Linked DNA regions of Oreochromis niloticus. The protein of the gene in region 2 binds, or shares a complex with, the protein of the main gene of each other region. Links are inferred from orthologs where the notes say so. Each region holds a gene or a part of one and is shown on either strand. Other genes may lie near its edges.

What was found. Proteins that work in one complex are often made in the same cells at the same time.
Region 1: mediator of RNA polymerase II transcription subunit 13-like (region 2) and med25 share a complex: the UniProt entries of both Homo sapiens proteins name them as parts of the mediator complex. The link is inferred for Oreochromis niloticus from reciprocal best matches to the Homo sapiens genes MED13 and MED25.

The regions. Positions count from the first base shown.
Region 1 is NC_031969.2:29,553,694-29,561,004, forward strand, and holds the start of med25 (mediator of RNA polymerase II transcription subunit 25), read left to right. Parts: upstream 1-4,287; 5' UTR 4,288-4,445; intron 4,446-4,893; exon of another isoform or gene 4,894-5,031; intron 5,032-6,616; 5' UTR 6,617-6,620; coding exon 6,621-6,766; intron 6,767-6,847; coding exon 6,848-6,893; intron 6,894-7,132; coding exon 7,133-7,257; intron 7,258-7,311. UniProt on the Homo sapiens protein: Component of the Mediator complex, a coactivator involved in the regulated transcription of nearly all RNA polymerase II-dependent genes.
Region 2 is NC_031979.2:25,761,901-25,769,014, reverse strand, and holds the start of mediator of RNA polymerase II transcription subunit 13-like, read right to left. Parts: upstream 3,100-7,114; 5' UTR 2,296-3,099; coding exon 2,230-2,295; intron 1,361-2,229; coding exon 1,126-1,360; intron 86-1,125; coding exon 1-85. Other genes in the region: c18h3orf33 (protein C3orf33 homolog), read left to right, coding at 4,206-4,406, 4,683-4,742, 4,887-5,046, 5,598-5,758, 5,842-6,099. UniProt on the Homo sapiens protein: Component of the Mediator complex, a coactivator involved in the regulated transcription of nearly all RNA polymerase II-dependent genes.

The DNA.
Region 1 (7,311 bases), on a different chromosome or scaffold from region 2:
CTGAGGTAAAATCCATAATTAAACTTTATTTTATTACTTTTCATTGCTGGTCCATGATTTCACAGAAAAAGGTAATTTTCTATGAAGATTTTTAAAAAATACTATCAGATCTAATACTCTGTGCAGGGGTGTGTCCAGAGGAGGTCATGGGACGGAGCTGTCTAACCATAATATAACTGAATTAATTATCTTTGAACTAATGACACAAATACAATTTTAATGCATTCATTTAAATATATCTATGTTACTCCACTTTCTGCTTCCAACTCACTATATGTTGGATCCAAATATTGTACTTTGTTCTCCATGTCATTTATTTTAAAGCTTTTAGATATGATTTTAAAACATAAATTTAAATTTTGCCTTTTTTATATGTTTTTGTTTTATTTTTTGTTTTTTTAATATCTTTTTTATAGTTTAAAGTGATTTACACATTAATGAATAATTGTGATCTAACAATATAATGCCTGTGCTTCTGGAAAGGCCCCTTCCCTTTACTTCAGGTATCTTATTTATTGCTAAAACTTTTCATACTAATACTAAGTCAGATTTTGACATTGCTACTTCACCACTTTGCAAAATAGTTATCCAATGCTGAACAATTTTCAGGCTCTTGTGCAGCACAATTTTTTATGTATTACATTGTTTCAGGTTGCACACAAGCCTACAAATCACACCCAAGGTTTTCAACACAAATTTTTCTACATTGGATTTATTTCTGATCAAATATTACGATTTCCTGTTGGCTGCTTTTCTTTCACATTCCTGGAAACGCCTCTGGTAACCTATTTGTCTGGTAACCTATTTGTGTGGATGCCACTGTATCAGCATGCTGGCTGTGATTACCTGTTGTGAGGCGACCATCTGGCCCTCAGCATCCCAGCTGGGTACCAATGTCAGGAGATGGATTGTCTTTACCACACCACCTGGACCTTGCAGACATAGATAGCTACGGCACCAACTATATTTCTGATTCATATTGTATTATGTAATTCTCTGACCAAACAAGGAACATAAGAGGAAAAAAAAAAGAAAACACTGTCTGGTCTTCCAAAGGCATACACAGAAAGCAGGCCTTCTGTAATTGCTTGGCAACTGCTGGCATTGTGTGAGTTGAAGTTCAAAGCAGCGAGACACACTGTATATTCCTCTAAGCGGCAGAAAGCATCAGAGTTGCAAAGTAAAGGGATGCCTACGCAGGCACATTCACACACACACACACACACACACACGAACATTCACCATCCATTCTGTCAGTTTAATTTGGCCATGATGCTCATTCAAAATAAAAAAGCTCTGTGGGGGAGCTAATGTTTGCATCCAGGGGGTAGCCTTGGGCATAAACCCTCCCTCAGATGAACTTTCTTTAGGTCGCCTGAAGCGTTCTTGCTTACTGACGCCCAAATGGAAAAGCTGCTTGAGCCCACAGCTTGTTGCCCTCCTTAGAATTTAGGTTAAATTGATGTGGAGCATTGTTTCTGTGGGAGGGTTTGAGCTTGATTAGCTCTGAAGCGCTTTGCTGAATGCTGTGCTAAGCTGACTGACTGGCTGGCATTACCACAGGGAAGGGGATGCTATTGTTGGACCCACAGAAGCAGCATGCCGATGTGTTACAACTACAGGTTAGCCTCTGGTGTATTGTGCTGATCTGACAGCAGTTAATGTGCCGATAGCTGCTGTGGTAATTATATTCTTGTTTCCAGCACTGAGGTTGCAAGGGGAATGAGAAAGCCTTTTTATAGAACAATGAAGTTATGAAACCATGAAATCCAGAAAAAAGCAACAACTAGGTTAAGCATGTCAAGCCTAAAAATCACAGGTCATGCTTTGTGGTGAAGATGTTTTTCTCAGTACCATGGATTTTGTCTTGGTAGCTTTTCCTATATGTAACTTACTCTAGACACATAGCTACTATAGATAAACAGTCTGACACTAAATTAAAGGAACTTTAGGTTAAAATCTGTAGCCTGCTCTCTGATAAGACCATCATCAGTTCATCATCGCTAGATATTTGCTGACATCTGCTGGAGGTCTGGATCAAAAGCACTTGGATATCTCCAGCGTTCGTCCTCAGAACCCTGTTCGAAACACAAAAGAGAAGATAGTCTGTTTTTTGTTTTTTTGTTTTTTGCTGTGGCAACACTCAAAGATTTCAATTTCTGTCTTTTCAGTACTGAGCACAAGTTTGTATTAAGCAAATTAACATGTGATTCCTGTCCTTTGCACTTCGAGGGATTTCATCTGAATGCACCTGCCATTGTTGTCTGTAATAGTCAACTGTCTGGATTTTTAAAGTCTAGATTTTTAAAGTGTAGATTTCAGTTTTACCCTTGAGGAAAGCCCTCTGGCTGCCTCAGGTTGGTCATTAGATAGATTTAAGGAAAGATAACTGGAGCCCTTCCTCATCACTCAGGCTACTGGCAAAGCACTGAAAAGCAAAGATGAGGTTTAGAAGTCTGAGCCAAGACAATATTCACTGATGACCCTGCACCTCCATGCTTCATTATGTGGAGCAATATATATTGAGGGCATTTCATTTTCAGTAATTGCTTACAAGTAGCCAGATAGCAGAGACGTCTGGGCCTGCTCTGGGCACTTACACATCAGTTATGGCAATGGCAAATGTTTATGGGCCAGACATGGTCTAAAAAGTCATGAAGTGGGTTCCACCAAGTTAAGCGTGGGCTGGAAGTGACCCAAACACTTAGTCATACCTTTGGAAGCGAGAAAATACCAACACTGTGAATGAAGAATTAATGGCTTGACTGTTTTTTGTTTTGTTTCTTTTGTTATTGTTTTGATGTTGTTGTTGTTTTTATTCAAAATAGAACTAGATGAATTTAGCATTTAGGAAAACACCTGGACAGATCATGCTCTTAAATGTTATTGTGACATTATTTACATGCATGTTGCCTCCTCAACACTTTACGGTTTAGTCTCTGTGTTTCCTACTTCTTTTCATTTTATATATAATTCATCATCCAGTGCATATTACTCTGCATACTAGATCAGGTGACCTCTAACCATCCTTTATTCATGCTGCTATAGGCTCAGACTGCTGGGGAATTTCTGTTTATATGTCACAACTCCATGTTACCAAAACTTTGTCTTCTGTCCCTTTTTGTTTTTTATCCTCATCTCTCCACGCTCCCCTTCCCCACTGTCACCACGTTCTTGGTCATAGGGGATCATCTGAATGTTGGGATTCTCTCTGTCTAATATTGTGTTCACCTTGCAATAGAACGCACCTTGAGCTGACTGTTGTTGAATTGGTGCTATTTAAATAAAATAAACTCAAAATGAATTGGATATAATCAGGGTCTTGGCCTTCAGTAAGCCTAAGAAGACAACAAATAAATTCTCTTCTTATCAGTTATAGAAGAAACAAGGTAACTGGACTTCTTTAAGCTTGCAAAGACCCGTATTTACATGTGCCACTGAATTTAATCTGCTGTTCAATAAATGAATATCTGAAATGCTTGGATTGTATTTGTTGTCGTGGCTGTAGCTGTATTTTCTATTGCATGGTATACGTTTGCAAAAGCACTTGTTTAGGTACATATCTGCTATTTGGGACCAGACAAAAACATCTTTGACTGATGAGGACCAAAGCTATTAGTTTTGCATTTTCTAATTAGATTTCATTTTTATTTCATTTTTATTTTGAGTTTTAAGCTCAGTTTAGTGAACTGGCAATACTTTGGTTTAGTTTTTTAATGTCTGAAAATGTTTAGATTTAGTTTAGTTTTCATTACTATCAGGCGTTGGTTTTATTCTTTGTAAGGGGTATTAATGTGAATTGTTACTTTTTGTGAAACCGATATTGAAACAGTGGTTCATTTATTCTGGTATTGCTGGTTTACGAAACATCTCTGGAGCATACTTTCACGTTTTGTTTCTGATCATGGTAACCCTAATTTTTCATTATCCTGGAAGAACGTTTTGCTTGGTTACAGTGATATTGACAGTGTATTCACTCATCCAAGTTCTCCAGTCGTAAGCCAAATTTCACTGGATTACTTTTGATAATAAAGCATTACATTTTCTCAGTAATGGACAGCGAGAATTGAAAATACCTTAAAACCGTGTCATCGTCTTAAAGACTTTAATATACTTCTATAATTTTGTGTGTTAGAACGGCTTGAAAACCCTGGTATTTTGTGTTTATGGTAATTCCCAAGTTGTATCGTTTTCGTTTATTTTCCTTGTACTCCTTTCGGTGTTCTTGACAACCTGATGTATGCCATGTTCCGCTTTGTTGTTATTAATAAAGTTTTTTGGGTTTTTTTAGATTCTTGGCCTCTCGTGGGCGTGTCGTTTCGTCACTTCCGTCAAAAATACAACAAATGCTCAGGCTAACTGTGCTGTGTAGTTCAAGTTAATTTTTAAAGTTATAGTTTGGTCCAACCGGTTCAGCGGTTCGTCGGACAGCCACAGTCCATCAGGTCAGTCTACATCACTTAACAGCTTGATAAAGGCTTGTTAATTGGGGCTATTTGAACTATATTAGCTTAAATCGCTCACTGACGTTTGCTGTGCTAGCTAACGCTAAAACGAAAGCTGTGCGCACTTCAGCTGTTGTTGACTTCGTTAGCTTGCGTTTTACCTCCCCTTGGCGATAATGTCGATTAGCAATATTAATTATGGATTAATGATTAGCGATTTGAGTACCAGCTAGGTTTTAGGTCCTACCTTTAAAACTGGAGCGCACAGCTATCGCAGCAAACATCTGGTATTTTATCACCGGTTTAAAAAAAAAAAAAAGAAAGGAAAAAAAGAAAATATATTTCTCGCAAGTGTGCTACATTGAAAAACACAAGTGCTGTTTTTGTTTTTCTTTGAGAAAGAATAGAAAACTGTTACACCTTCACAGAGGTGAAGTCACATGCTTCCATCGTACTGTAGCTGCTGGATGTCCGTGAAATCACTATCTTACATTGGAGTGTTTCAGCTCAGAGTGATTTACTTGTGTATCTGACAAAACAGAAACGCAAAAAAGCAAATAACATAGATAATCGAGCTCGAATTAAGGTAAGAGATCAAACAGGAAATTAAACAAGGTAACGCTAAAGATGGTATCCCAAAAAGTTGAAGCTGTTCATATGGACTTTGCGTTTTCAGTTGGAGAAACGTTTCGTCACTCAACCAAGTGAGTTCTTCAATCTCAGTTGACTGCAGGTTATAAACAGTGCATTTGCATAATGACTAAAACTAACACCACTGGTGACTATTGGTTTGTGGGGTCAGTACTGTACTGTTTAATCCATGGGTAGCTTCAGATACTTACTCAATAGCTGGAAGCATGCATATATATATAAAAAAAAAAAAAAAAAACACCCAGCACGCCCCTGCGGGCGGTTTATCCTTCAAGCTCGGGTCCTCTACCAGAGGCCTGGGAGCTTGAGGGTCCTGCGCAGTATCTTAGCTGTTCCCAGGACTGCGCTCTTCTGGACAGAGATCTCCGATGTTGTTCCCGGGATCTGCTGGAGCCACTCGCCTAGCTTGGGAGTCACCGCACCTAGTGCTCCGATTACCACGGGGACCACCGTCACCTTCACCCTCCACATCCTCTTGAGCTCTTCTCTGAGCCCTTGGTATTTCTCCAGCTTCTCGTGTTCCTTCTTCCTGATATTGCTGTCATTCGGAACCGCTACATCGATCACTACAGCCGTCTTCTTCTGTTTGTCTACCACCACTATGTCCGGTTGGTTAGCCACCACCATTTTGTCCGTCTGCATCTGGAAGTCCCACAGGATCTTAGCTCGGTCATTCTCCACCACCCTTGGGGGCATCTCCCATTTTGACCTCGGGACTTCCAGGTTATACTCGGCACAGATGTTCCTGTACACTATGCCGGCCACTTGGTTATGGCGCTCCATGTATGCCTTGCCTGCTAGCATCTTGCACCCTGCTGTTATGTGCTGGATTGTCTCTGGGGCATCTTTACACAGCCTGCACCTGGGGTCTTGCGTTTTCAGATATATGTCCAGATGAACAGAATCAATTTTGGGGGATTTACTTACCTGGATGATTGAGCATGCATCAAGACACTAAAGATAGTAGTTCGGACAATATTAAAAAAATTAAAATGTAATGTTTTCTAAATGAATATATATGAAATGTGAAGTGAATTTACATGTTTTTGCTTTTGTTTAGTTTGAAAGGAAAATAAACAAGCACAACTTTGTTGACGCTGTTGTCCTGACTTTTGAATAGGGGTTTGAATTGTAGCCCAATGTGTCTGTCTTCTCACTGTGCTCCAGAGTATACATACGGATCATAATAGATGCCATAAATACCACAAGGGCCTTTCATCCAAGTTTTAACAAAAGTGATTTTTAGAATTGTTTTGTCATTTTCAATGTCAATTATATTATGAATTATATTTGTTGAATCAAGATTCAAGAGTATCAGAAATGCATTAAAATAGAAAGGTAGGTGAGAGGCTTAGAGTTACATGTACCAAATCCTGCTAATGCTGGTGTTGAAGAAATGAGTCAGACTAAATTTATTTTATGTCTTTTAACCAAGAAATGTTTTTCACACCTAATTTTGGTTGTTATTGTAGTTTTTTTTTTTTTTTTTAAACTATGATAACTTTCTCCTCTGTATCTAGATCTATGGTGGCAGGTTCGGCACTCATGGAGCCATCCAGTAAACCTGGGCCCAACCAGGTGGCTGATGTGGTGTTTGTCATTGAAGGGACAGCGAACCTTGGACCATACTTTGAATCTTTAAGAAAAAATTACATACTTCCAGCTATTGAGTAAGTATCTAAAGCTACCCATTGTTTCCTAAATCATTAATGTCATGTAGCTATGAATTAATTTTATTTCATTCACCACAGGTATTTTAATGGAGGGCCTCCAGCAGAAACAGATTTTGGTGGAGATGTGAGTGTTACTCTAATTCCTGTTTTCTAGCTTTTTAACTGCTTATCCAACTTAAGGTTGGGTTGGGGGGGGCTAAAACCTTTCCCAGCTGACATAGGGCAAGAGGCAAGGTACACTGTAGACAGTCTAATCTCTGTTTTTAATGCTTTAGCTTGCATTCCCTGTCACTGTTTGCTGAAATTCAGATATCTTTTTTGAATTCTGTGGATGATTTATTATTACTATTTTATGTTTTCTAGTACGGGGGCACACAGTATGGCCTTGTGGTCTTCAACACAGTGGACTGTGCTCCGGAGTCATATGTCCAGTGTCACGCGCCAACCAGCTCAGCCTTCGAATTTGTCTCCTGGATCGACAACATCCAGTAAAAATTATTTCCCTATTACACCTTTTAAACTGCCCCTTTGTTCTAATCATG
Region 2 (7,114 bases):
CGCTCCAGCAGGTTGTGAATGGCTTTGAACAGGAGAGTTCGACACTCATAGGATAGGCCACTTTCCCACTCACCATCCTCCTCACCTGAAACAAGGCAGATGCAAACATGATGACTTTAACAATCAAAGCTTTTTTTCCTGATAAAGCTAACCAGTGTTAAATGTACTTGGTTTTGTCATACATGCGTAGCCTTAATTTGGCTGTGCAAAAAACAAGAAGACCACAGTTACACCTGCTCTACCGCGTATAAATACAGGAAAACATTTAATATTAATAAAAGTCTTAGTTGCTGTTATGTAATGACGTGATCCAAAATAAAAGGCTTCAACCCAGTTACTGACTTATGTAACAGAAAATAAACTATTTTGTTAAATTACAGAGAAATTATTAGATTAGGTGAAGCTTACTCATGCCATTCCTCTCTGATCATCAAGAGCTATACTCCCTGCATAGTGGAAAATTCAAATTTCCAACTATCTTTGGAGCTCAAGAGAGATTTGAAAAATTGTTGCCAACTCTGTCTCTTTAATGAGCAATTTCTGCAAGTAACACTTCACCCCACCTGGGACAAAATACCTGTGTGTTAGCCCCTAAGGGTACTTTTTCTCTAAGAATATGAATATGAATATCAACAAAGCAGGATTGAATCTCCAGAAATCCAGAGGTGTGTCAGGTGACTATGATGCACAACAACTTGTTCTAATCCTACCATGCAAGTCTGTGTCTCTGTGGCCGTGGGCCAATCAATTCCACAAGGCTTTAAAGACATTCAAAGACCAGTTAGCCACAAATTCAAGGGCCTTAGAAATTATTTTTAATCAGACTTTGCATCATCAAAAATGTGTAAGAAAAATATTTGATACAGTAAGCATTTCAGGACAGCATCTCTAGGAAGTATGTTATTAATATCAACAATTACACACTTCAATTTAAAATTGTTCAGATGGCACAAACTGAACTAAGTGCTGTGAAAGCACAAGAGTCCACATATAATTTGGGGTAAATCACCAAATAATATTGGAATTTAATTCAGTGAAGTGAAATAAACATTTTCATCTAATAAACTCTGATGCTGTCAGAATCACAAATCTTGCAGTATTCGTGGAGAGGTTAAATGCACTTACTTAAGAGCTCATTGTGGATAAGCTCTGCAAAACTGGGGTCATCACCCCACCAGAAAAGCCAGAGCTCTCTGCGACCCGGGGTGTGGTGCCTCCTCCAAACACTCAACACATCTGCCGCCAAGCATCGGCTGAAACTGCACAAGATTGGGTCCTCCTCAGTCACAGGGAAAAGGATAGGCGAGGAGGTGGGTCCTTGCCACACAAAACGCCGCCATTTTATTCCAGTCAAATCAGCCTTAAAGAGAAGAAGAATAGTGATGTGAGAATGTGAGAATGAACACAGAGACACAGAGAATAACTGCAAAGCATAAAGCCATTTTCCAGTTGTTTACTGCACAACTCTTCATGCATCTTGACCTAACACACTGCAGTAACAAGACAGCCTTTGCTGCTAAAATTACTTTCAATTCAATTAATTTTATTTTATTTATATAGTGCAAAATCACAACAACAGTTGCCTTAGGTGCTTTATATTGTAAAGGTATAGATCCTACAATTATATTGAGAAAACAGAAAAAGGAAACTTTGAATAAGCAAAGCTGAAAATTGAGGTTTGTTTACACTGTTGAAAGTTTTCCTGTACTCTTTACACTTGCCAAGATGATCACGCCTGAAGCCATAACACCCAACTATAAGGAAATAATTTACAACCAGCAAGTTAACAACCAATGACAGACCTGTCAGTTTAAAACCAGACTGGTCTGTCTCAAAATGGTTGGTGACAGCCACAATTAATTTGCATGCAGTGCAGTTTAAATCAAGGAAAAACAATATGTTCAGCTGGTTTTAGAGAAACTGCTCGTTTAGTTGTTCTTTTTACCACCATGTAAATAACGTTATTGCTAGCGGAATATTTTAGCACTCAGTGCAGTGTAAACACAAGATCGTGCCATATTTATCAACCAGCCTTCAAAATAGTTGTCATGCAGAATGTGCTGGCTCTGTTATGAAAGTTGGCTCAGATCACGATTTGTTAGTTGCAGGCCCGATGCCTTCACTCCAATCTGCAACTGACGTTACAAGGCTTGTTGCCTTATTAGCCAAAATGGCTTTCTGGCCTCTCAGGATCGCTAACGCTCGCTAGCTCACAGAACAGAGTCTTACCAGGCAGAAGAGGTTGGAGTGGCAGTCCTCCAAACTGGCCCCGTTTGGTACAAAGCACGAACTCATCCTTTCACTGCGTAGTTGTAACGTTAAAATCCATGTTCTCAATCACCTTCGGGGGGCAATAGCCGATCTGGGTAACTCGCTTGCGAAGCTATGTTCAGCTCTAATTATCCCGTTAAAGCGCTGCCAACTTGCTAGCTTCAGCTAGCTGACGCTAGCCAAACAGTCAACTTCTAACCGGCGCTAGCCACCACCACTAGCCTGGCAGCTAAGCTAACGTTAGACAGACAGCCAGAACGCGTCAACTGTAAGCTTCTCGCTATACGATTCATCAATCCTATTTGAAATGTATTGTCTGATCTGGTTAGCCGCAAGCTTGCGGCTACATCACCTCAACATTAAATAATCATCGATAACAAATCGAAGAAAGACTAGCGTTAAATACACCACCGGAAAAAGTTAAATGCGCAATAAAAATACGAGCTCAAAAACTTAAAAGAAAAACTTAGATGCTGGTATGCTAATGCTAATGGCAGCTAGCTGCTCTGAAACAATTTCAAAGCGGAGGAACTCGCCCCTCCTCCCCCTGAGCTAGCCTAGCCTGCTAACACATTCGCTAACATACCAGAGCTCCAGCGTTAGCTCGCCAGCTAAATAAAACAACCCGCTACGCCGCCCTCCTTTTCACCAAAACCACCATGGTGCTCCGTCATATTAAAACTACCCTTAAAACGAATGAAACACCCCAAACTAGCGTGACTACTCATCAGCTACTCTTCTCTGCCTGCTCCATAGGTCCTGCAGATTTCCATTATTTCAGTTCATGTATTGAATTCTTTAATGGCGGCCAGGAGGACAACTCTGCCTCTTAGCTCCTATTGGCCAATTTGTGGTAATGGGGGCGTGATCCAGCTTCAAGTAGCTCCATGACTTCACAGTTTACAAGATGAAAGCTCCAGTGCATCTGTCATGCAGTGGTCACTCCTCAGTGATGCCTGTTAACGTGCATGTTTCACTGTGCAACATCTGCTGCATGGACAGTTATGGGAAATATTTGGTGAATTATTGTTGGTGGTGGGAACATGTGTGTTTGTTTGCATTGTTATGTAAAGGTAAAAAAAAACAAAACCAACTGACTTATTCTATTGTCTTCTGGGGGCGTTTGCTTTGTGCATTGAATAATAATAACTAGATGACACGAAGTCATCTAGTTATTATTATTTTTATAATTATTACTGAAATTCTTTCAGGAATACAGTGGTGCAAATAAAGAACCAACATTTGCATGAAACACAAACACTGATCAGGCTACATACATATAGTTGACAAATTAATATGTATATATGGGGAAAATGAACAATAAAGAAAAAAACACATTCAGTACTGAGATTTTATTTAAGTGCATTTTTGAAATTTACTTTGAAATTAATATAAACAAACTTTTTCATGCATTGCAACAACCCTTAAGAAGCAAACTCAGTTCAATCAAATAAAACCCCTTTGTTCTAGATGAATCTGCAAATATGTTACTGCAGTTTAAATTTGTGTGCATTTCAGAACAGGTGGATTGCACCTGATAGAAAAGGCATTAATCACGAGTTAAATCTTTATACTTTTTAAATCTAACAACAACAACAAAAACAGACATAAACAAATAAATTCAAGGGAAGATTTTAAATAATGAAGAAATCTAGGTCAAACTGTGTAGACAAAGATGGATACGTCACTGATCCCAGCGGTGTTCAATAATGTGAACCTCAGCTGCATTTTTGCATGGACAACTTTTTCTCTACCCCCTCCTCAACGTTATTGCAGCGCTAAGTAAACAGCTTCGCCATCCACCGGGCTGGTTATTTTGGTGCTTTTTATGTCACACGGGCTGTGAACTTGATGCTTTCACACGCATTGGACGTGCACACCTTCCTGTCATTTCCACAGCAGACCACAGGGCGGAGCCTCCGCACGAGCCTTCAATGGTGAAACTTCCCTCCCCCGAGTGGGCGGGGCTTCGGATGCTTCGAGAAAATGTCAACAACATGCCGCAGACTTCCAGAGAAACAGAAAGTGAGGAGGAAATGAGGGACAGACAACAAAGAAAGGAAGAAACCCCGGTGTCTCATAACATCGTGACTTTACTATCTCAGTTCGCAGATGATAATTTAACGCTCGTGCGGGTAGGAGTCTCCTTTGTTTGAAAGCTGGGATGCATAGACAGCATGGTTACTTGACTGTCAGCCTGCATCTGCTTTTAATCTTTCACTTGGTGGTACCCTATATGTTGAAAGGAAGGACTGTGGTCTCATGCAAAAGCCTTCATGGCGCTGACCAGATGTCCTTTCTCTAGTTGTCCCCAGCAGAGTATAGTGCTCATGTGCATTATCAGTGACCAGCACTTTAGCCTGGTTGGCAACATCACTCTCATCCCTTTACTTTTCCCTTGTCTCCCACAGAATATAAGCACTGGACTGGCCATTGCTGGTGTAATTGTCATAGCAAGGAGTATCAAACTGGTAAGGGAGAAAGACCCTCAAATGTTCAAAATGTTGTGTGCTATCTCAATTCGCTCTATCAAATCGACATCCTACTACATAGGATGTCATTTTTTCTGTGTTTTTCTAGAATGAGTCATTCACTTGTCTGTTCCACCTCTGTAGATCACAAAATTTCAAGCTGCGTGTGACATCCCCACACGTTTTATTGAGAGGAACGTCAGCCTTCGTGGGAAAGTCCATTCCATCACAGAGAAAGGATTTAAAGTGGAGCACGTCCCAATTTATCTGCCTGTTATCTCTCCATTACTTTCAAAGTATAAGGGTAATACAGGAGAGAGAAGATCATGAAAGCATGTGCACTATCACACTAGAAATACACGGTCTATACTATTCAGAGCCACTAATCTATGGCTTAGCAGCGTAATTATTTCATCTTTTTGCACCATAATATAATTGTGGCGTTTTTACTTTGCAAAGTCGGATATATTTTATTAAACTGCCATGACTGAAAGTGGCAGGTAAGCCTGTTAGCTGCTATATCAAGTCATAGTAGTCACTGAGCAATGAAATCATAAGGTGCAGCATCAGCTACTTCACCGAGGACACAGATAACACGTTTGCCCCACCTGACTCAACATTTCAAACCTGATCAGTCATTTAGTATAGAGAGGGTTCAATTTGTCTTTGCATCTAACAACAATTTTTTTTCTTTATTATTAAATGTAAAATGCAACATTTCAGTAGTGACACCACTAAACTGTTACATTATGCTTACACTACTAAAAAAATACAGTTTCAGGCCTTGCTCAAAATTCATATTCTAAACAGAATACATAAAATGTCAGGTAAATGCTTTGTCTTTCTTCTTTTCAGATGTGTCTACATCCCTGCTGCTGGTCCATCTTGCAGGAGTGGAGCTGACACCACAGGGGAAACTATGGCTGGAGAAGAACGTGGCCCCTTCCCAAATGGTGTGGTTGAAGCTTATCAGCCGAGAGGACGACATATTGCATTGTTTGGTGTCTCAAAGCAGGGTAAGAGAAACCTTATGTGGAAAATTGAGTAATTAATTTCAAGTTATAAAGTGATATTTCCCTGTCTTCTCGCATCTCTCCAGAAGGGGTCATTGAGGAGCTACTGTATGAACGAAGAGGTACTCAGGCTCGGACTGGCTCGCACTGCCCCCGTAGCTGGTGTCCTCCCTGACTCGCGCCTCTACTGGCGTCTCCACAGACGACTGCACAGGGCAGAGGTGAAAGCTGAGAGGAAGGGTCGGGGTATGTGGAAGGAGGACACCCTGTGGGAGAGAACTTCCAAAGCTATCAGGGACAACGCTGTATTCAGACTGTTGAAGAGGATCTTTAAAAGAACCTGATGCACCAAGTGAGCGATGATTTCCAAGTCAGAATCACAAAAAAGTTTGTTGGAAGTGTGGAAGTGGAAGCCAAAAATGTGATATTTTACATTCCCTTTATTGTGCACTTAGGATTTCTTTAAGTCTTTGATCTGCTTTATTTTCTCTAATACTTAAAAAAAATTCCCAAGAAGTACATTTATACATCAAATCCTTAGTGCACCTGTTGCAAACGATTGAAACGTGTTTTACTGTGTTTCTCAGTCATAAAAAGCTTGAAATTCTTAAAAAGGTTGTTGAACGCTCTTCTTCAATCCCTGAGCTTTCATTACCAATTAAACTAGAGCTAGACACAGCCTCGCCTATTGGTGTGTGTGTGTCTGTATGTGTGTGTGTGTGTGGGAAACCCCACTAAACTCAAGACGGGGGTGGGGTATTTAATGGTGTTCAAAATAAAGGGGGGTCCACTTGTCCACAGTTGCTATAGAAACACCAAATGTGAAATACAAAGCGACTCCAAGGCTAAACTCTATATTGGTGGCCCCCAAACCCCATGGGAGCCTTATATATTGAGTGTGTGTGTGTGAGGGGGCTTTTAAGTACCTATAAAGAGGGCCCTTTTAGTTGTAATGTGACCAGTACATTTAAGCACTAAGCACAGTGGGAAATGGGAGATCAAATCTGTTTGTTTCAGAACGCTACATGCTGTTATTGCAGGCATGATTGAAAAATCTCATGAGTGATATTTATCTGCAAACGTTATTCTAATCAGCATACATTGACACCTGCACCAAAGCTAATTTCCTGTTGAGGATCATGCTCCTGTTATTGCTTTTTCTTTGCCAACATTACACCTTGTGCCTGTGGCTGTTACTCATGCTTCATCTGAGCAAGGCAGATGAGGAGGAGGAGGAGGTCCTGCAAAAATGAGGCCAGTCAGCGATGCGTCCTGAGGGGTGCGGGGTGGGGGAGTCACAGTGTAGCGAGAGGTGAAGCAGTCAATCCAGTGGGGCACAAGGAGATTAGTGCAGAGGAG